Linked DNA regions of Notamacropus eugenii. Each later gene encodes a partner of the first gene's protein in a complex. Links are inferred from orthologs where the notes say so. Each region holds a gene or a part of one and is shown on either strand. Other genes may lie near its edges.

The links.
Region 2: the proteins of ABL1 (region 1) and SH3BP1 are in contact, whole or in part, in a crystal structure (PDB 1ABO), measured with the Mus musculus proteins. The link is inferred for Notamacropus eugenii from reciprocal best matches to the Homo sapiens genes ABL1 and SH3BP1. Residues at the interface, in NP_033724.2 of Mus musculus: Tyr70, Phe72, Ser75, Gly76, Asp77, Thr79, Asn94, Glu98, Trp99, Trp110, Pro112, Asn114, Tyr115; in NP_001303613.1 of Mus musculus: Ala607, Pro608, Thr609, Met610, Pro611, Pro612, Pro613, Leu614, Pro615, Pro616.
Region 3: the proteins of ABL1 (region 1) and CRK are in contact, whole or in part, in an NMR structure (PDB 1JU5), measured with the Homo sapiens proteins. The link is inferred for Notamacropus eugenii from reciprocal best matches to the Homo sapiens genes ABL1 and CRK. Residues at the interface, in NP_005148.2 of Homo sapiens: Tyr70, Phe72, Asp77, Asn78, Thr79, Asn94, His95, Asn96, Gly97, Glu98, Trp99, Trp110, Pro112, Ser113, Asn114, Tyr115; in NP_058431.2 of Homo sapiens: Pro44, Asp46, Asn63, Gly66, Pro67, Arg68, Pro69, Pro70, Val71, Pro72, Pro73, Ser74, Pro75, Pro80, Gly81, Ser83, Pro84, Ser85.

What each region holds. Positions count from the first base shown.
Region 1 is NC_092872.1:482,395,324-482,402,639, forward strand, and holds the start of ABL1 (tyrosine-protein kinase ABL1), read left to right. Parts: upstream 1-4,227; coding exon 4,228-4,363; intron 4,364-7,316. Other genes in the region: uncharacterized protein, read left to right, coding at 3,415-3,546. UniProt on the Homo sapiens protein: Non-receptor tyrosine-protein kinase that plays a role in many key processes linked to cell growth and survival such as cytoskeleton remodeling in response to extracellular stimuli, cell motility and adhesion, receptor endocytosis, autophagy, DNA damage response and apoptosis.
Region 2 is NC_092874.1:294,919,416-294,926,972, forward strand, and holds the start of SH3BP1 (SH3 domain-binding protein 1), read left to right. Parts: upstream 1-4,522; 5' UTR 4,523-4,723; coding exon 4,724-4,785; intron 4,786-5,695; exon of another isoform or gene 5,696-7,186; intron 7,187-7,360; coding exon 7,361-7,403; intron 7,404-7,557. UniProt on the Homo sapiens protein: GTPase activating protein (GAP) which specifically converts GTP-bound Rho-type GTPases including RAC1 and CDC42 in their inactive GDP-bound form.
Region 3 is NC_092873.1:39,471,953-39,479,534, forward strand, and holds the start of CRK (adapter molecule crk), read right to left. Parts: upstream 3,060-7,582; 5' UTR 2,960-3,059; coding exon 2,695-2,959; intron 1-2,694. UniProt on the Homo sapiens protein: Involved in cell branching and adhesion mediated by BCAR1-CRK-RAPGEF1 signaling and activation of RAP1.

The DNA.
Region 1 (7,316 bases):
TAAGGTTTAATAATAACTGAGATAAATAGAACCCTTTATGAGTTAAGAGTTTCCCACAAGGTTATAAAAAAAAAACATTCTTAACTGCACTTTAGGAAAAAGGAAACCAAGGTTGACTGCAGTGAGGTGACTTAGCCAAGGTTACACAGTCACATCTTTGGAATTTTTATCGAGGTCTTCTGACTGCAAGTGCACTTGTAACTTAAAGAAAGAAGATAGTAAGCAGAACCCAAGGGCAGTGAATTATTTGATGTGATTAGTCCAACTGTGCAGATTTGGTGAGACATGTAAGGAGTATAGTCATCCCTTCCACATCACATAATCTGGAAAATTCTAATAAAATTTTTTGGCTCTCCATACCAGAGAAGAAGTATGAATTTTTTCTTTTATGGGGTGTTTATAGTACCTTATTATAAAATTTGGGTTGATATTATATAATACTATACATGTATTTTATGCATTTTGAGTTTCTAAACTTTTTCTGTGTCATTCTGCCGGCCTTGTGTCATCTGCAGCTTCAGCAAAACTCCCCCCAAATTCCCATTTAATTTCTTATGTTGACTTATATCAAAACCTCGATGGGGAAAGTCGTGATGTAGAAGGGATAACAATACCTGGGAAAAAACATGAGTGCTTTTCAATTGCATTCTATGTCATCCCAGAATATATTCTGAACTAAAAGTCTGTCTTTTTGTTTCATAGTCACTGACCATCCTTAATCTACATGTTATGCTTTTCTTAAAAATTAAGATGCCCCTTGACGTTCTTAAAGATTTTGGACTAAACCTGCTGAACAAGCAAAACTAGAAACCCAATTAATTACCCTAGATATTTTGCAGATTAACTTGTAAAATGGAATTTGAAGGGAAGTTAAGTAGTGTAGTAGATTTGAAGTCAGAAGATGTGACTCCAAAGCCCAGATTTCCTTTTTTATTATCTGTGTGACCTTGAGCAAGTCTAACTTCAGGCCTCAGTTTTCTCCTCTACATGAAGGTGGTGAATGAGATAACGAAGTGCCTTTCCAGCTTTCAATCCTGTGATGTGTCCATGGTTAGTTAGAGTTGAAGGTTCTTCTGCTCCTTCCCCATGCCCCATGTAAACCTGAGAAACATCAGAATTTTACAACTGGAAGGAGCTTTTCAATATGGAAGAGAGCTCAGGAGATCATTTAGAGCAGCCCAGTCATTTTACAAATGGGGAAACAGGCGAGTGAAAGAAATGACATTAAATAACCATTTATCAAGTGCCTGCTGTGTGCCAAGCATTTGCATCCTACTAATGGGAAGCAGTTTTTACATAGATACGTATTACATCTATACAAAACAATTACAAAGTTGGTGGGGGTTGTTGTTTTGTTTTGGATAGGAGAGTAAGAACTGGGGAGGTCAGGAAGAGCCCTGTAGGAAGTAGCCCTTGAGCTCTGCCCTTCTGAAGGAGCCTGGTAGGAATGCCACGAGGTGAAGGAGGAAGGAGAGAGCGTACTGGACACCGGGTACATCTTGGGCAAAGCCCCGGACTGACCATCCCTCCTGTGGACGTTTCAAAGGGCTCTAGGTGGCGGAGATGGGGCCAGGAAAGGATGACCCCCCTCCCCCATCTTGAATTGCCTCCCACCTCTTCGACCCTTTCGACCTGCACAAGGTCATAAAGCAGTTAGGTGACTTTGTCCTCAGGTGTGATCTCTCACCTGCGTGCTCTAATATTTGTCGTATAAACCACCTAACATCTGTAAATAAGGAAAAAAACTCCAGTACGAGCCTGTGTGTTTCTTATTGGGTCAACAAACATATCATAGTTTTCCTTCCACAGCCCCAGTGCTTCAGTTCTTGAATAGGAAGCCACAAAGGCTGGAAAGGAACAGACGTAGCTACATGGCTAGTGGCAGACGCGTGGCGTACAGGTGGATCCCCTAGGTATCTCAGGGAAGAAACCCTACTCCAGCCCTGAGAAAATCCCGTCCGTAGTTTGTGTTTCGCTCTACATCCGCCTGCTAGGGCACTCTCGCTGGGAGGACTCGTGCCTGCTCTCCAAGGGGCCTGGGATCCCGCAGAATCCCTAGAGGGAGGGACTGAAGAACCGGTTGGAAGAAGAGTGCACAAGTCTCAGATGGCCTAGCGGACGGGAGGGAGTCACGGAAAAACTACAGCTCCCGGCGGCCTTCAGGACGGTACCCAAGGCGATTGGCTAACAACTTCAGCACTAACAGGTTCACCAGCCAATGGAGAAGGAAGCTTTGTCCCGACCTGATTTGTCCGAGACCAATAAAAACAGGCGGGCGTTTCCTTCTTGCTTGGAAGAAAAAAAACGACCAAAAAACGGTGCGGTTTTAATTGTTCCTGTCTAAACTCGTCGAGACACCAGGATTGGGACTCGAAAATGTGGCTTACTCATATAAAGGAGAACGTCCATTAAAAGAACTAACACTCCTCCCCAGCTCCCCAGCCCCCGCGCTCAAAACGACTCCCCTGGGGCGTGCGCCCCGCCCCACTCTTCTCTCCTCCTACTGCTTCCGCTACGTCCCGTACGTGCCTGCGGCGGGCGGGGCCAAGAGGGGCGGGGCGCGGGGAGCCCGGGGCGGGGCTCAGCCTCGTTGTGGAGCGGGTTGTAATCCATCATGGCGGCCGAGGGGGTTGGTGTCTTTCCCTGAGCAGCAGCGCCGGAGCCGGTGGCCGTGTACCCGCAGCTAAGGCGCCCCCTGCCCGGCCCCCGGCCTCCGCCCCCGCCGCTGCAGCCCCGCGCCCCAGCTGGGAGGGGGAGAGACAGAGAGAGAGAGGCAGAGTGAGGCAGGCAGAAGGGGAGGCAGGTTGGCAGGGAGGGAGCGGGCGGACGCTCGGGAGCTCCGGGATATGATTGACTGACCATTGGCTGGGGTGGGGGACCCGAGGGAGGAAGGACCGTCGGGCCGGGGGCGGCGGGTGTCTCCGGGCCGAGTTTCTTACTTCTCCACCTCGAGGACTGGGCAGCTCCTCCCCTCCCCCCTCCCCGCCTGCCCCACGGGCATCTCGGTGACTCCTTCCGGACCCTGGCTTTTGGGGTGTCGGGGGAGGCAGGACTCTCCAGCAGGGTCGTACCCTCTGCCCGGAGCTCCTCCGCCGATTGCTCCCCTGCGGGAGACGGTTGTGAGCGAGAGAACCAGCCTTCTTCCTTCCCCCGCCGACCCCTCTGCTCCCCCATACTCTCTCCTGTTCCACTCCTTTTTTTCAAAGGTTCCCCAACTCTGCCACTCATCTCTCTCCCCTTCCCCCCTTCTGTCCCTTCCCCAATAGGCTGCCAAGTTTTCCTTTCTGTCCCAGGTTCAGCTTCTCTCCCGTGCCACCCATTCAAACACTCTTCCTCATCCCTTTGCTTTCCTTTCCTCCCTCTCTCCCTTCCCCCTCCAGTCTTGCCAACCTCCAATGCCCTTAGTCTTTTTCTATGTCACCAAAGGCCTTAGTAGGCTCTGGACTGCCCCAGACTTTAATGCAAAGGAAAAGCCTGGGTTGGTTCCACAGGCCCTTTAAAAAAGCTGACTTAAAATTGCTGGCAATGCATTCCTGGAGTGACTGACTGCTCGTGTAAATCTACTTGTGAAGTCTGGGTGACCCAGCTCAGTTTTCCGGAGAGAAGTAGCAGCCAGATTGGCAGGAAATCGGTCAAAGATGAAGAAACCGAGATAGGGTTTGGGCGACTTCCACAGGAAAAGTTTCAGAGCCGGTATCCAGATCCTTCTGTCAAAGACCATTCCTGATTTTTTTCTGAGAAGTAGAGACCCAGAAACAGCTACACTTTTGTCTTTGTTTTGAAATCTAAAATGACATTGGCATACCTGACCCTTTTAGACTTAAGTAATAGTCCATGCAAATACTTTATTCTCAAGAGGAATGCAAAAATTGCAGTGGGAAAAGTACATTCCTTGTGAATATATTTTTAAATGGCTTCACTTTTGGAAAGAAACTAATTCCTGTTCAAGTAAAAGACGTCCAAATCAATTGACACTGATAACATTATAGTTGTATCGTTCAAACTGATAAAAAACTGTAAAATTGGAGCTCCTCTTTGCCTGAGCGGACTAAGAAGCATTTTTTACACTTGGTTTTGGGAGAATTCTCTTGTGATTGACTTCAGTAAGTGATCTCTCTGGAATGTGAATGTGAAACCCAAATTATACTATTGTCATTCTAAGCTATTGGACCAGTCTGGAAGATCTGAAACCCTCTTTTTCTGGGAAAGGTTGTCTATAGTTCCTTTATGGGGCAGCAGCCTGGAAAAGTCCTTGGGGACCAGAGAAGGCCAAGTTTGCCTGCCCTGCACTTTATCAAAGGAGCAGGGAAGAAGGAATCATCAAGGCATGGGGGTCCACACTGCAATGTTTTTGTGGAACATGGTAAGTGCTTATTAGTATTGCTTAAATTAATGTTTATCATATAGACTTCGCTAGGATGCTAGAATTAGAGCACAACAGATTTTTCTGATTCAGACATCCCATTTGAAAATTTAGAAAGCTAGCATATATTTTCCTTTTAGGTGGCTCTTAGACTCCCTTTGTATGAGAAAAAATTTCTTTATGATTTAATGTTATGCAAAATCTCATGGTTTTATTTATTTTCTACCCTTGCTCTTCAGATAGCTTGCTGTGTCACATTGGGCAAATAATTTCTCCCAAATATGGGCCGCAATTTCTTTTTGTAAAATGAGAGGATTGTACTAAATGATTGCTAAGGTCTAGTTCATTTTTTATGAATCTATGATTCATTGATAATTGAATACCAATAAATTGGTAATTGATAATTGCACATGTTACTTACAGGTGCTTATTAAATGCTGGTTGAATGAACAGACAAATATAAATTCTTTTATCTAACATGAGTGCCAATCGTTTTCCCTTAATAATATTTTTCTGATTTTTCAGTGTGTTTGAAATGACATTTATGAAAAGTTGTCATTGGAATTTTTAATGTATTGTAATTTTGTTGTCCTACTGTCTGTGTGGACTTACAGTTTGCTTCTAGTAAGCCTTTTTGGTTAAGTCAAGGCAAACAATCAACTTAGACTGATACTTCTCAGCAGGGAACAGTTATTTAACTTATGAACTCAGGGTTCTGTTCATAATTCTGTTATGAGGAATAGTATTTGTGAGGTCTTGTGACGATGTAGGCTATCATTATTAAAATATTTAGTGATGCTGGGCCCTAGTCATCAAATTCTTAAAGTGTTTTAAGTAATATGTTTGTAAAGTTCAAGTAAGGATCCAAGTTACCAAGTGGGAATAATAACTTCAGTGTATTGAACTTTTTAAACTGGTAACTGCCCGTGACTATTGAAATGTAAACATGACCCAGATTAATGAAGTTGTTAGTATTTCCCTGGGGGCCATTTAGTCCAAGGACCTTTTTAGCCAAGATGTATTCAAGGTGAAGAAAAAGAGATGAAAATAAGCTAATCTTGTGAGTACTGAAAATTTTTTAGCTGCATGGTATGATTCAGTGAGTGGTGAATTTGGAGTCTAAGGACCTTGGTTCAAATCCCAATGTTATCTTGTTAGTCATTTAAACTCTCTGGGTCTCAGATTTCTCATTGTAATGTTAAGGATATTAATATGACTTCAAATCTTCAATCTGTAACCTAATTAGAAACTTGAATTTTAATTCTTCTTAAGATTCTTGAAAAAGCCCTGAAATCAAATTAAATTTTAGTTCAGTTGACAGACAAATTTGATGATGTTTAAAATAATTGCTCATTATGATTTCTCTCTCATCCTCTGTACCATCTCCCTCCCTTTAAAAGTTCATTTTAAAATACATTGGTAACAAGTGATAACAAAGTGAATCACTTTGTTAGATCACCTATTTTTTAAAATATGTACTTTTTTCAATTGACAAAAATCCTCCTCTCCCTCTCCCCTCCTCTCCCCAGGTTGAGAAAGAAAGAAGAGTAACTAAGGAAAACAACTTGACTATACATGTTATAAACATCTGTAGTCAAGCAAAACAAATTTCCACATTGGCCATGTCTCTCTCTCTCTCTCTCTCTCTCTCTCTCTCTCTCTCTCTCTCTCTCTCTCTCTCTCTATCTCTCTCTATCTCTCTCTCTCTCTCTCTCTATCTCTCTCTCTGTCATTCTGCACTCTGAATCCATCACCTCTTTGTTAAGGAGGTGGAGAGCATGTTTCATCATGAGTCCTCTGGAAGTCATAGTTGGTCATTCTGTTGGTTAGAGTTCCTAGTCTTTCAAAGTTCTTTGTCTTTACAGTATTGTCTTCACTGTTAAACTGTTGTCTTAGTTCTGCCTATTCCTTCTGCTTCAGTTCTTGCAAGTTTTCCCAGGTTTCTATGAAACTATCTCTTTTATTATTTCTTAGAACACACTGGTAACCCATTTTGATTACGGACTCAATACAGTTTCTAAGGCTGAGTTGAAACAGAGTATGGATTGATTCTCTGCTGTTTGTGCTAATTTTGGCCTAACAATTTACACCAAGAAAACAGGCTCTCCACCAGCCAGCATCACACCATCCATCCATGGAACAATTGAATATAGCAGATGGAGAAATTTTGAATGCTGTGGATAAGTTCACTTTACCTTGGCACTATACTTTCCAGGGATGTACACATAGATGATGAGGTTGACACACCCATTGCCAGAGCTAGCTGTGTACTTGGAAGGTTCTGAAGGAAAGTGTTGGGGAGAAGAGGTATTAGACTGCCTGTCAGACTGAAGGTCTGCTGAACCGTTGTGCTGACCTCATTGTTGTATGCCTGTGAAACTGGGATGGCCTGTTGACACCATGCCAGGAAACTGAATTGCTTCTGTTTGAATTGTCTTAGGAAGATTCTGAAGATCACCTGACAAGATAAGGTACCAGACACTGAGGTCCTTTCTTAAGCTGAGCTTCTAAGCATTCAAACTCTACTGCAGAGTTGGCTGGTCATATTGTTTGAATGCCAAACCCATGTTTGCCTAAAAGACTGTTTTATGGAGAACTCACACGAGTCAAGTGCTCATATGAAGGTGAGAAGTGATGCAAGGACACTTTCAAGGTCTCTCTGAAGAACTTTGGAATCCATTGTGAGATGGAGATGCTGTCACAGAACTGCCCAACGTAGTGTGCTCACATCAAAGAATGTGCTGGGCACTTTGAAGCAAAATTGCAGTAGTTCAAAAGAAATGTGAGATGTTCATGTGGACTATTTGTGCCCGTCCTGTGGTGGAGCCTTCCAAGCTCATATTGGTCTGATCAGCCACAGTTGGGCACACTGTATCTTGACTCCAACATAGTGATGTCATTTTGGTCATCTTTGAGAATGAAGGACAACCACCAACCAATCATTTCATTCCAA
Region 2 (7,557 bases), on another chromosome or scaffold:
CTGATGAACTCTATGGCCTTGGGTGTCTTATAATCTCTCTGAGTTTCTGTTTTTTCATCTGTGAAATGGGGGCAGTAATCCTCCTGAGTAAAGGACTTGGTAAATCTTTAAAAGGTGTAGAAACACAAGTTTTTATTCTTTTGCCCAACATTATATCCAGATCATAAGCAGCAGGACTGGGAGCCCAGATAGTCTAATTTCAAGTCCAGCAGGTTTGATTTTCTAAATCATACTTTGTTGACTCTTTATACAAGCATGAGCCAGGCACAGAAGATATGAAAAGGAATGCTATCCCACAGTCTATGTTCTGCTTGAGTATGCTGCTTCCCTTGGGTCATATGATATGATCTGGGGGTGAAAAAGCAGGGCCAGAACCCAGGAATTCTGAACTCCCTTCTCCAGTCTAAACAGTCTATACTAGACCAGGATTTCACTGTCTGAAGTCACTCTTGGGTCCTGGTACTGTGGGATTTCTTCCAGGAAGCCACATCATGATGTGGAGATGACCCTGGGTTCATAGATGATATTACATGTACTGAAGTACCTACTATGTGCTGGGGAATACAAGGACTGCTCAAAGACCTTCCATTTGCTTGGAAAGGCTACCAGCCACCAGTAGATGATGGACCATGTCTGTCAGCCAAGGATTGACTGAGTCATCTGTTTCACCTTCATCTTCCCCCATCTCGGATTCCCCATCTGCCTCCTAGTTCTAAATCCTATGGTCCTAAACCCATGGTCACGGAGTGAGGAATATTGTACCCACAGAAGCTCTCGGAAGCCAGTTGCCAAATCACCAAGGCCTCTGTTAAAACCACCCCCACCCCCACAAAATCAGAGGTGCTTGAAGTAAACCATGAGGCTTAGAGCTAAAAGGGACCAAAGAGCTTATCTAGTCCAGAGCTCTTAACCCAGGGCCAGTGAACTTAAAAACATGACAACTCTCTCAATATAGTTGCTTTCCTTTGTAATCTGGTGTATCTTATTGTGTATTTAAAAACAAGATTTTAGGATGGGCTCCACAGGCTGACTGCCGAAGGGGTCCAGACTACCAGATAGACATGAAGAACTCCTTCATTCATTCAGTCCCTGCATTTTACTGAAGACAAAACAGCAGCCCAGAGAGGAGAAAAGGCCCTCTTGTCCAAGATCCCACAGCCAGGGAAGGAACACTCAGAATTCAAACCCAGATCCTTGACTCGAAATCCCAGACTCTCACCCCAAGCAAGTGCCCGGAAGCACGAGTTTCTAACTGTTAGAACTAAAGCAGCAGTGAGGTGATTTCAGCCTCCTGGGGAAGTTAGCTGGGACCCGCCCTTTCTTCCTTTCAGAAAGGCTTCCACTCTCCACTTTTCAGTGGGGGAGGGGAAACCTCGCAGCCCGTAGGCTTCTTGCCTGTCCCCCCGCCTGAGCTTTTGATCCTCCAGCAGGAGCTCCCTTGGCCTCTGGCTCTGTTTTCATACCCCTTGGAGATCTTTGGGGCTGGCAGGAAGTAGTTAGTCTGTGACAGTCTTCTAATCAGCATCTGAGGCCTCCCCACTGGGGATCCTGCATTTCCACTGGGGAAAGACCTGGGGTTGGAGGGACCACAGTTCAATACTCTGTTATTATTTGCGGGGTGATTTGGGGCAGCTGTCTTACTCTGGGTTTCACTTGCTTCATTTAACATAAAGGGGTTGAACTAAATGTTTATAATTCATGGAAGGGATCTCCAAGGTCAAATACTCCATCCCTTTCATTTTACAAATGGAGAAACTGAGCCCCATAGAGGCAAAGGTGACTTATCCACTGTCAAAGAATCATAAAATGAGAAGTTAGAAGGGACCTCAGAAGGCATCTGGTACAACCTCTTCATTTTACAGAAAAAGAAACTGAGGCCTAGGGAAGTTGGACGTTTTGAGCAGGGTCCCACAGTAGTAAGAACAGGGGATTGAAGCCAGGCTTTCTGAGCGTGGGCCCAGGACACCCTTTCCCCTGCGATATCTCTCTCCCTAAGGCCTCCACCCCTTCCAGTTCTAAATATAAGACCCCATGATCCTTCCTCTGATCTGGGAAGTAAGGAGAAAAGGAAAAGAGAGAAGAACCAGAGAAGGAAGAATCAGGATTCTGTGATCAAATAGATGAATATCAGGCTCTCTGGCCACACTGAGCAGCTCGACTAGTGGGGGGTGGAGACTCAGGCTTGTTCCCCACTAATTCGCTGTGTGCCTTTGAGAAAGGTGCTAAGTGCCCCTCACCAAATTTTTCTAGAGTCTAGACCTTTGTTTTCCCATCTAGAAAATTAAGGATTGCATTGTGGTATTGTTAACCAGATCTGGATTGGCGGTGGTTGGGTCGGATCCTGGGCAAGTCTCTGCTCATCTTTGGGCCTCAGTTTCCTCATCAGCAGAATGAGGGAATTGGGCCACATGACCAGTGAGGTGCCCTGCAGCTGTGACATGTTACCTATCTCCTGGAAAGTTAATGAGGTATTAAGGGGAAGGAGCACTGGCCAGAGCTCCATGAGCTAAAGGAATGGTAGAGTCTAGATGAGGTTTGGGGGTAGGGTGAGAGGAATCTATAGCTCCCACTTCCCTCCCCAAGGGGCCCTGGTGGGAAGTCCCCTGGGGTCAGTAGCATATTACATTGAGGCCCACTTCCTCTTCCTGGTGCTTGGTGCACACCCCATGCTGCCGGTGCACACCCCGTGCTGCCGTTACTCTCCCTTCGAGGTCCCAGCAGTCCCAGCAGAAGATGGGAAGAGGGGGGCACTGTGGCTGTGTGAGACATGAAACATCTTTAGGAAGGAAAGCCCAGCTCTTCAAAAAACTCAGTATCCCTGAACTTCTGTGAGGTCCAGGATATGCCCATTTGACAGATGAGACTGAGGCTCAGAGGAGGGAAAAGACTTGATAAGAATCTGGCAGTCAGGTGTAGAACCTGGTCTCCTGGTCCCATCCTCTTTCTTTCTTTTTCTCCTTTTTAAGGTAATCTTAGTTTTAGATGCCTTACAAATTTCTTGAGTAGCCACTTAAGGTTTTATATTTGCAAATCTTCTGAGATATATATGTAATTCTCCCTATTTTATAAATGAAGAAACTGAAGTGCAGTCATAGGAGTTCAGATCTAGAGTTGGAAGGAATCTTAGAGGTCATTAAATCTTATCCCCTTATTTTACAGATAAGGAAACTGAGGTCACAAAAGCAATAAGTGGCAGAAGTAGGATTGTGAAACCCATGACCTTTGACTCCAACAAAGCTCCCTCTGTCCAGGGTCACAGGTGCACTGTATGTATGTAGCCCATCTAGTCAGGGCCAGAGTAGAGTCTACTCTGAAGATTGTGACAGAGAAGCTGTGAATTTCAGCTCTGATATCTGTTTGTCCTTCACTGCCATCAGAGAAATGATGACATGACTTGCATTTGACTTTTGTTTTGAGTGAGGGAGGGCTGCGCAGGTCACCAGCCTCACTTCTCCTCCAGAGCCATCTGAATCCAGTGACCAGATATTCATCAGGATGACTGGGGATGACTCAGGATGAGAAAATTGGGTTTAAGTGACTTGCTCAAGGTCACACAGCTAGTGAGTGTCAAGTGACTGTGGTGAGATCTGAACTCTGATACTATCAGTGAGACTGAAGCCTGGGTCCCTCCTGTTCCGATTTCTCCTTTTATCACAGTTAATAACATGTAGTCAATGCATGTTGAATCTAATGGGATCAGGCCAAAGAAAGCAGATGGGACTCACCCTGATCCTCTGGTTCCAAGTCAAATTGTCCCCTCATAATTTTTATCTGTCCCCCAGAGTTGCTTCCAGTGTAAGTGGGGATGGAGATAAGGAATAGGAAATGCTGAAAACACAAACTGGGAAAAATAGAAGGTGGAGGTTAGCCCACCGATTAGAATGTGTGTTGGGGAAGGGACAGCATCGTCCAGACAAGATCCCATGAATGGAGGGATTCTGGTCATTGAATTTGAACTGGAGAGGGCTTAGACATTATTTAGATTGAAGCCCCTTCATTTTTGCAGATGAGGAAACTGAGGCTCAGAGAGGGGCAAAGACTTGCCCAAGGTCACACAGCAAGTCTGCCTCGGTAGAGCTGGATTTAAACCTACGGACTCCATCTGTAAATCCAGCGCGCTCTCTGTCACCCAAGAGAGTTCCAGGTCCCAGGAGCCGCCCGAACAGGCCCTAAGCCGAGGGAGTGAATGGGGGTGGGGGGAGCACCGTGCCCGGGTCAGAAGCAGGCCCGGGCCCCGTGCGGGCTTGCCCCCTCGTTTCCCCCTTTCAGGTGCGGCCCAGGAGTTCTTTCTGTCCGCCGCAGGTGGGGACAGGCACAACTAGGGGGCACTCGAAGGCGGGACGGGGGAAGTCAGCCAGACTGGAGTACAGGCAGACGGACAGACTGACAGAGCGAAAGACGGAGGAGTGGGGGTGGAGGCACAGTTAGCGGAGGAGGGTGGTGACCTGGGTTGGGGGAGGAGAGAGGGAGAGGAGAGGCCGGACCAGGGGGAGGGGGAAGAGGAGGAGGAGGAGGAGGAGGAGGAGGAGAGAGAGACAGAGGCTCCGCCAGGAAGAGAAAAATTGCCTCCCTCCCTGCCTTGGACCGGCCGTCAGTCCCTCCGTCCGCCCGTCCGTCTGCCGGGGCACAGCTTAGCGTGCGGCTCGAAGACTCCTATGAGCAGCTCGGGGGGCACCCCGGTCTCTCCAGCCCTCCCGCCAGCTGGCCACCCCAGCCCTCGAAGATGATGAAGAGGCAGCTTAATCGGATGCGGCTGCAGCTGTCCCAGACTGGGGGCTCGGGACGGTGAGCGTGGCTCTGAGCTGGCAGCGGTGGTGGGAGACGCGCGATGTGTGTGTGTGTGTGTGTGTGTGTGTGTGTGTGTGTGTGTGTGTGTGTGTGTGTGTGTGTGTTGGGGGGGGCAGAATTAGGGTTGAGACCACCAGTTGCCTCAGTGGCAGCCAACACCACCCCAAACCCCAACCCTGGGTTACAACCTGTTCCCTTTGCTTTCTCTTTCAACACCTCTTCCCCCCCCCCCCCCCCCCCCAAAAGAGGGCCTCTGGGAAGGGAAGTCTCGTGAGGTAAGGCCCCGACTCGGTGTAACCCAGAGCCGCCCCTCTCCCCGCCTCCCCACTCCTTCCCAACCGAACGAGAGGTTTGGAGTCCTCAGCCCATCCCCCCCAAGATGTTACAGAAGGGGGTCCGGCTTGGTTAGGAACAGGAGTAATCTCCACCCATGGAGGAGGGGACTAGGAGGGACTTTAGAATTTAGGAGTCAGAGTTAGGAGGGGCCTTAGAACAGAGAATGTCCCAGCAGCATGGGGCCTCCCAACTCACATTGTAAGAGCTGGGAGGGCTCTTAGAAAAAGGAACTTCAGAGCTGGGAGCCTTAGAACCTGGAAAGGCAGAGTTGGGAGAATCCTTAAAAAAGAGATGTCAGAACTGAGAGGTCCCTTAGAATCTGGAATGTCAGAACTGGGAGGAATCTTAGAACGGTTCACTTCAGAGCTTGCAGAGTTCTTAGAACAGAGGAAGTTAGTGTTTAGAGCTGAGTTTAGATCTAGTTTAATCCCTTCATTTACAGCTGAGGAAATTAGAAACTGTTCCCTAACCTCCCCTTGCCCGCCTCCTTTCAGGTTTCTGTAGTTCAGAGTTTTAGAGGTGGGGGTGGGGCTAGCCCTGAGCTGATGGAGGGGAGGGTCAGGGACAGGATAGCTAGCTTCTCACTCTGCCTGGGACTCTGGGCTAGTTTCTCCCATCCACCTCCCCCAACCCCAGTTTGGACCACTTAAAGAACTGAAGGTTTTAGGACTCTCCCTGGAAAGGAGCAAGCAGATAATGGGACTCTGAGACCCCAGGAGACAGGGGGGAAGAGGAGAGTCTGGCCGGACCCTGGCTCCTTGGAGACAATGACCCCTGGGGGACTTCTTAGAGGGGAAGAAAGCCTTCCAAGAGCTTTTATTCCCATATGCCTTTGTTTTTCCTGTCTCCAACCCCCTTCTCCCCCCCAGGATGTCAGTCCTCTGAATTCTGCTTTGCTTTTCCCAGGGTCAGGTAAAAATCCAGTCCCATTCTCAGGGCTAAGTTTCTAAACATCTGCTTTACAAAAACCAAAACCAGATGGCCTTGCCCTGACTCCCTCCCCATCCCCTCATGGGACCTAGAGTTCTCTTATGTTGTGTGTGGTGGTGGTGGTGCTGGAATAACTCACTGGGAGCCAGGATACCTGAGTTGTAATCCTGTCTTTGCTACTTACTGCTTATGATACCTTGGATAAGTCATTTCTCTGGACCTGTTTCCTCATCCTTCAGATAAGGGGGTTGGGCTCAGTGGACTCTGCAGTTCTGTGACTTCAGTGTGCGTTATGGGCTGTGCTGGAGAAGCTGGGGGTGAGGGAGAAGTGAGGAGAAAAGAATCTGCATTTCAATCTGAGACGGAGTTTAGAGGCCATCTAAGCTAAGCCCCATATTTTTGTTTTTGTTTTTTTTTTACAAAGAAGGAAACTGAGACTTAGAGGGGAAGTGATTTCAGATCGTAGCTTTAGTACTGTAAGAGATTCCAGAGACCATTTAACCCAATCCATGAATTTTACAGAGGGGGACACTGAGGTGCTTTAAGATTATAGGAGCATAGAAGTGGAGTTGCAGGGGACCTCAGAGGCCATTTTATCGATGAGGCAATTGAGGGCAGATTGGCCCAGAGCACTGAGACAACATTCAAACTCAACTTCTTTTTAGTGTTTTCTTCTATCCCCGAAGCGAAGCTATCCTCCCTCCCCCCACTTCCTTCCAGACTTTACTCCAGCTGTTCCCTATCATGGCAGCCCTTACAGGTTTGCTCTGGGGGCCCCTGAGAAGCCCTTCCTGCTGCCCTGCCCTGAGTTCCCAGGTGCAGCTCTGGGTGGAGAAGGAAGCAGCCCGACTTTGGATTCCCCACTGCTTTGGAATGTGCTCTGGCTGGAGGGGTGTGGGGAAGAATGAGTGAGAGACAGCGATCGGGAGGGACTGGCAGAATCCTTTCTGAATGGACAGATCAGCTAGGGTTCCTGTCCTCTCCACTCTCTTCTCAATCCCCTTTCAGCTCTTAGTTGGTCACCCTGAAGTGCCCCCCCACCCCAGTCCAGACTTGGCAACGGGATCATAGATTTGGAATTCCCAGGGGTCTCAGAGGACAACTACTTTGACTGCTCATTTACAGACAACAGGTACAGAGAGATGGCCAGTGACTTGTCCCGAGTCACACAGCTTTCAAGGCTACATCTTCCTTATTCCAAGTCCCCTACATCATGATATCTGTCAGGGAGTTCTGGGGAAGCAGGAAAGCAGGTGGAGTAGAGGTCTCCAAATTCTCCCCTCACCCAGTCTCTCTGTCCCCACAGTGTCCAAGAGACTGCTGAATTTCTGAGCGAGGACTTGCTTCAGGTATGGATATGGGCTCAAATGAAGTGAGGAGAGGCAGGCCTGTACAGGAGAGCAGAGAGGCAGAGGGAGGTAGCCAAATGGGTGGGATGAGTCACCAGAACCTCCTGGACTGGATTTCTTTTCGAAGGAAGATGTCACCCTGGGGAAAATAGGG
Region 3 (7,582 bases), on another chromosome or scaffold:
TACTCTGTAAATGTACATTCAGTCTACCCAATTAAACCACAATCTTCTCAAGGATGGAGACAGTATCCTTCATTTCCCACCCTAGAATTTGGCAATGTAATAGGTGCTCAATATTTACATTCATGTTAAGCTGAAGAAGTAAAGGTTAGGTGCACATGGACAGAACGTCAAACTCAATACCCAGAGGCTGGAAATTGCCTGGGAATGAGAACTGTTGACCTAAATCATCTCGAACGGACCTTTCAGCTTTAAAATCCTGTAATTCATTCTCTATCAGGGTTGCTGAACTGGAAACCCCAGCCTCAAGGAGTGGAGCCAGAAGATTTGTATTGCTAACCCTAACTTCACCCCTTAATACCACCCTAAAAATAGTTTTCTAACTAGAAAAGTGTGGAGCCTAACTATACTTACTTAAGTTAACCTAAAATGCTGCTGCCTCCACTTCTATTTACAGAAGGGCAAAGCAATCATTTGCATAAATCTTTCTAACTGAATTCTTATCCAATCTGCCAAAGATTTTTAGAAGCTCTCAATTTCCTTCCCCACCCCACCTTCCTGCCCTAAACAAAGGATGGCAGGGGGCTGGGGACAGTTTTTCTTCACTGTCCTCGACTCCACTTGGGTAATGAACAAAACCAAAGCACGCTGGGAGCAAAGGCACTAAACCATTCACACTCCCAGGTGTTCTTTCCTCCCCTGCAATGCTCTTTTGAGCACTACTGGGATCCTGAAATGGGCAAGAGAATTTCTAGATTCCCCAGCATCATTCAAACCAAGTTCCTATAAGACTTCAAAAAAATAACCTTCAAACACACAGTAGCCAAATCAAATTGTACTAAGTGGAAAATAAGAAAATGTGGTAGAAAACAAGGCAGCTGCTTTTCACTCTACGAACTGTGCCTCCCTAATCACACAACCGTGACAATCTTAACATCCCTGGCAAGGCCAGGGAAGTGTCTGACTTGCATTTTATGTTTTGAAAAGGAGGAGCACATACTGATACTGATATCTGAAACTCTAACATGAAGACGACTACAGATATGCACCTAACCTTCATCTTTACATCTGGCCACCAAGTCAAAGAACACAGAAACACTGAAGTTCTGCCCATTTGACTCAGGGGCAGCCCAAGACACACTTACAATCTGGCCCAAGGCTAGGGAGAAAAACATTGGCTATGTAGTATAATACTGTCCCAATACTGAATTACTAAGACACTAATTAGTCTGGAAAAGGTAAGATCTTTTACCAACAGATATAATCAGAAAAAACCTCAAAAGCAAATTTTAAAGTGAGAAATTCTAAAACTCAAAAATTGCTTCCTCATTTGAGTCACTGATTCATTCCAATACCAATACCATACCAATACCAGCGTTAATATGACAGCATTCATCAGTTCTCCTGACTTCTGGCCTTAGATGGTCTATATTAGGAACATCTAAAACTTTAAAAGGCTGATGTAAAGGATGCCTTCCAAATCAGAGATTGGCTTGGATCCAGTCTCAAGACACATAACAGTTAATAGAACAGAGAGGTCATCTTTGTCTTATTATACTAACAGCAACATCAAATGAAAATATTGCTACTGTATACAGAAACTATGTCAACTATGACAACAAAAGAAGTGTTGAGCAGTGAATACCCAGAAAAATCCAGCTGTGTCCATAGCCTATAAACCCCAGTAAGAGGTAGCCAGCTAGATTTTAAGTTAGAGAAGCAGTGTTGGTATAGTAGGAAAGGTACAGTCTTTGGAAAATCAGAAGAAATGAGTTCAAATCTTAGTACGATCATACCTGTATGATGTGGGAAAAGTCACTTAACCACTTCAGGCCTCAGTTTTCCTCATTTGCTAAGTGAGGGACTTGGAAAGGATGACCTCCAAGATCCCTTCCAGACCTTAAATCCACGTAGAGAAATTCAAGTCCACTCACATTCACTAAGACAGTTGTCTCTGAAGTACACATTCAACCTTTTTTTTCCTGATAAAGTATCCAGCACTAAAGTTTGTTCCTGAAATCCTCAGCTCCACCTCCACAAAACAAATTAAAAACCATGACCTTTGCTGCTGAAACACTCCTCAGGTCACCAATATGGCCCAACCAGAAAAAGACCAAGTCACTAGGACACCATCTAAGCCTTCCTAAGGTGGTATTCATCCTTCCCCTCTATGAAGGAAAAAAAGCTTTACAAGTATTTGAGAAATAATCTGGGGGAGCAGAGTGGGAGGGGGAGAGAATGCAGATTTGAAAAGAAATGCTGATTTAAAAAAAAAAAAGCAAAAAGCACTGATACAGTGCATTGAGAATAGACAGGATGAAAATTTTCATTTCAAAGTAAAATTCTCATAAAATTTTGAATCCAATGAAGCCCCTAGTCATGGCACTTAAGGCCTCAGTTTCCTCATTTGCAATATGCCCTCCTGGCCCTAAATCGGTGATCGGAGGTCTCGGGTGGCAAAAACAAACCCGCCGCCCCTTCAGGGAGTGGACGTTCCCGGCAGCCCCAGGCCAGCAAGTGGCCCAAGGGGCTGCAACGACATTGGGGCGGGTCACGGGGGTCTCAGTTTCCCCACCGGTCAAAGGACGGGGCTGGCCTCCCGAGGCCCGCGCCCAGCCCCCCACCCCGGCACTCCCGGGCTCCGCGCGCCCGCCCCCCGCCCCGGCCCCGGTCCCGGGCCCCGCGCCGCTCCCTCACCGGGCCCAGGCTGCGCGGCAGCCGGCGGCAGGGGCAGCGGCGGGGCGGCGGCGGCGGCCGGGCGCGGGCCGCTGCTGTTGATGATGTAGTGGGAGACGCGCGAGTTCTCCGAGACGCTGAGCACATAGTCCCCGGGGCTGGTGCTCGAGTCCCGCACCAGGAAGACCCCGTGCCGCTGGCCCTGCAGCAGCGCCACCGCCTCCTGCCGGCTCAGCCGCCCCCAGTACCAGCTGCTCCGCTCCTCCGAGTCGAAGTTGCCCGCCATGGCCGCCTCCGCCCCGACACGCTGGGCCTGGGCCCGGGCCCGGGCCTGGCCCACCGAGGACGATGCCGCCGCCGCCCCTCCGCCCGCGCGCGCGCCCCTCCACGCCCGCGCGCCGGCCGGCCGGCCTGCCCGCCCCGACCGACGACCGCCCGCCCGCCCGCCGCCCCGCGGACCGGCTCCGGCCTCCGCTCCTCAGCAGCGCCCGAAATGGCGGCGGCGGCGGCGGGCCTTCCCCACCGGAAGTGACGCGCCCCGCCAGGGGCGGGGGGAGAGGAGCGGGCGGGTGGCCTGCCGGGAAAGGAGACAGGCGGCCGCCATTGGGAGAAGGGCAAGCGCGAGCATGCGCGCTGCCCCTAACGCCGTCTTCCCCGGTCCCCACCCCGGGCTCTCGGGTGTCACTCTCCGGCCAGGGCCGGCACTGCAGCTGATTCCAGGGCGGGGCCGAGGCGGCCGAGCAGGGGGCGGGGCTTGCCTGGGGGTGTCCCTGTCACTCGTCACCCATTTCCGCCTTCGAGTCTCGGAATCCTTGAACCACAGAATGGAATGTTGGTGCCTGGAAGGAAGCTTGGGCGCCCCGGACGCTTCCTCTCGGGAGCCCCCCGACCCGGCCCTCCCGGGTCCCCCCACCGCCCCCCCGGCCTCCCCCGCCTTTGGCCGTCAGGGATCGTGCATTTAGAGCCGCGGGTCCGGAGAAGTCCAGGCAGCCGGCCGTCAGGAGTGGGGTCCCCGTGGCGCCCCGCCCCTGCCCCCTCCCCTCCCCACGCACGATCCATCCGCCCGAGACACCTCAGTCTTGTGTATTAGAAGAGTGGAAGCTCCCTGAGGGCAGCACGGCCTCTCCTTTGGAATTCATGTCCCAGTCTTGGGCTTGCCGTGGGGGGAGGGGATGTTTTAAAAATAGATGTTAAAAATAAATCCTAATAAAGCTAAAAAAAATCTATCTCGCCAGTACTTAGCACCATTGTGCTTAATAAATGTCTTTTCATTCATTCATGTTAAACTCACTTCTCTAGTCCATCTCTCCCCGTCACCCTCGGTCTGGCTTGTTTCGCAGAAGATCTGTACACCCTTCAGACCAAGTTGTTACTTAGTAACCTTCAGCGGCTCCCCACGCTTCATAGCCCAGGTTCCAGGTCCTCCACAGTCCGAGCCCAGCCCGCTGCCCCAGCCAGGCTCCAGTAGTGCTTACCACCTGTCACCACCGCACCAGGCACCCAGGATACCCACGCAAAAGGGAAGCAGTACCTGTCCTCCAGGAGCTTATGCTCTATGAAAGAGACACATCCACACAAATCTATCTATCTATCCACACGTACACACACGTATATACTGCACTAATACTTTTGGAAAACCATGTGTATGTATGTTCACACGTGCACATAACCATAAAACCGCACATGTATATGTACCTATCTATATATGTGTATGTATATGTACCTATCTATATATGTGCATGTATATGTACCTATACACAGGAGCTACATATGTGCCGCACAATTTTTAAAATATGTGTATACATGGATGTCCATACAGCACACATAATAACACATACCGCACATATATGACATGCTGACAACAAAATATATTTTAAATAAATACAAGATAATTTGGAGTCCAGTCCCATTCCCCAACACACCCAACCTAGTCTCTCCCAGTGGTGTGACTTAGCTCACAAGCCAGAGATGAACTCCTGTCTCTCCTGTCTCCCTCTTGTCTCTGCTGTGGTCTCCGCCTTGCCTTCAAGGACTCAATCACCAACTAGAAAGCTACCTCCTTCAGGCACCCCCTAACCCTAACCTTCCTTCCTCTTCCCATCTCCAAGTGATTATTCCAGGTGAGTGTCACCTCAAATTTTCATTCAATAAATTAAATTCAACAAATATTGAATAAGTCCCTTCTCTGTAGAAGGCACCTCAAGATACAAAGGGGTAAAAACAGATTGCAATCTATTAGATCTGCTGTTATCTCCCATACACAAATTTCACTCTGGATTGGAGAACTATTTGTGTATTTCCTTCCCCTCCCCTCATCCCCCATCCTCACCTCCACTACCAAGAAATTGTGAGCTTCTTGAGAACAAAGTTTGAGCTCTGTCTTCTCAGCAAATTCTAGCTCAGTGTTGAAAGCACTTAGGAACTTGTTTCTAACTAGAACTCAGCACTGCTGGTAAGCCACTTGCCTCACCTCACACAGTTAGTGGTCCTCCTCTACCTCTACCCCCCTTCCATTCATTCCTCTCATGCCTTTAAAGTTTTTTAGAGACGGAATTCAGTGATTGTACAGTACCCGTACTAAGACACGAACCTAACTCCTTTGTAGAAATGGGTGGGACTGTTCTGAGCCATGACTCAGAGGGCAGTGCTAGGGTGGGGATGGGGAAGAGGAGTTATTGCTGGAAGAAACTCCAGGATCCTATGTATACACTTACTCCACACACTCTCCCACCAAACTGGACGGGACTGCCCCACCCCCTTCAAACTCTCCTGGGGTTATAGCTACTATTTTTGTATCTTCCTTTTCTTTTCCCTGTGACCCGATATGAGCCAGAAACACAGTGTGTTTGGCTCTGTGTAAGTGGCTAAAGTTCTGGACTTGGAATTAAAAGGACTTGACTTCCAATCCGGCCTCAGATACTAGCTGTCAGACTCTGGGCAAATCATTTCATTCTCTTAGCCCCAGTTTCCTCATCTGTAAAGTGGAATAGCACTATCAGGGTGGTTTGAAGGATCAAATGAAATAATGTGTGATGGCCTTCACAGACTTTTAAGTGCTATATCAATGGTAGTTATTGTTATTAATACACAAACCCTAAATAATAGCCCTGGAGTTGGAGAAAGGGAGAGTAGGTAGCTGATAGGATCGTAGATGGTCTGCTCCTAGTTACAGGTCCCAGGCCCACCAGATCACTGCCAGGCCATCTCCAGTCACAGCCACTGACCTCCCTCCAGAAACACAGTCCTCCCCTCCCCTCTCCTGCCCTTAAAGAAAGGATGTTCTATATTTCCTTAGCTTGGCTTAACTAAGTTATGTTCCTATAATTTTGATACTTTTTTATTATAAGGGAATGCTTGTGACACTGCCCCCCCTCCCAAATCTGGTTCTCCCTCCCAGTCTTCTAACTCAAGTGCTACCTTTCTCAAGTCCATGGTAACTTGAGAATCACTGCATTCATTATATGATAGAGGTTGCCTCCCCCAATCTCCCATACCTCCTCCTAGGTGCCCATCCAGTGTTGAGGTAATCCCAACGGCACTCACTGAGAGTTACTACAGGTGTGACCCTACCCAAGTAATTTAACCTATTCAGGCCTCAGTTTCCTCTTCTGTAAAATGAGATATGTCAGGCTCAACTTTTTTGAACAATGGAATAGATGACCTTGGACATCCCTAGACTGGATGGCATCAGATCTGAGTTCAAATCCAGCCTCAGACCCCTAGTGATGTGATCCTGGGTAGTCACTTCATTTCTGTTTACCTCAATCTCCTCAACTGTAAAAAGGCAGTCACAATAGGCCCTACCTCCCAAGGTTGTAGTGAGGTTCGAATGAGATAATATTTGTAAAGTATAAAAGCTAGCTTTAATTAGTATTATTCTAACTGAGAATCTGTGATTCTGCAGTCACTAAGGAAGGAGGGAGCTTTCCTCCAATTCTGGTATTTCAATCACCTCTCACAGGACCAATAGAAAGGCTGTAAATCCGGGGTCGCCAGCCCCTGCTTCAAGCTTCTCCAAATTTCCATACTCTCCAGCTTCCTGCTGGCCACTCCCTTTCCACTCTGGCCTTCTAGAAAGCTGGCTATAGCCACAGTTTCCTGACTCACCCCCTCCCCCACCAGCGCACACACCTGCACCAGCCTCCTCTTTCACCCATTGTTGTATTTCCTCCTAGTGTCCTTCCCAACACAATTTGACATTTACCAATGGACGTGTGGACAGACGCTGGCTCTCCCCTACCAGTTTCCTGGAAAGAACATGAGACAAAGCCAAAGGATCTGGGCTTGAATGCCAGAATTGCTACTCACTGGGTGTGTGATCTTGGGAATCACCTCTCCAGGCATCTGTTTCCACCTCAGTAAAATGTGAGGACTGAGCTAGATTAGAGGTTAGCACTCACTCTCATATTGTAAGGGCACACCTGGGACACTGCCTCCCCCCCAATCTGGTCCCCCCTGAGTCTTCTAACTCAAGTTCTGCCTTTCTTATGTCCATGGATAGGAGGAGAATCATTGCATTCATTATATGGTAGTAGCTGCCACTCCCAATCTCCCATACCTCTAACAAAGGTGGATAGTAAGTAGGCCTTGGAATCAGGAAGACTTCTGCCATTCACTAGCTATGGAACTCCAAATCACTTAACCTCTCAGGACTGTAAATGGTAAGAATGTAAACTATAAGAAGATGCCAATCTGCACTGGAAGAATGAGCTTTCACATTTGGGAGGTCTGTGTGTTTGACCTTTGTTGCTGAAGAAGACCATGCCACCAGAGAAATAATACCATGACTTGCACTTGACTTTGTTTTGAGTGAGGGCTGTGCAGATCACCAGCCTCACTTCTCCTCCAGAGTCATCTGAATCCAGTGACCAGATATTCATCAGGATGACTGGAGATGATCCAGGATGAG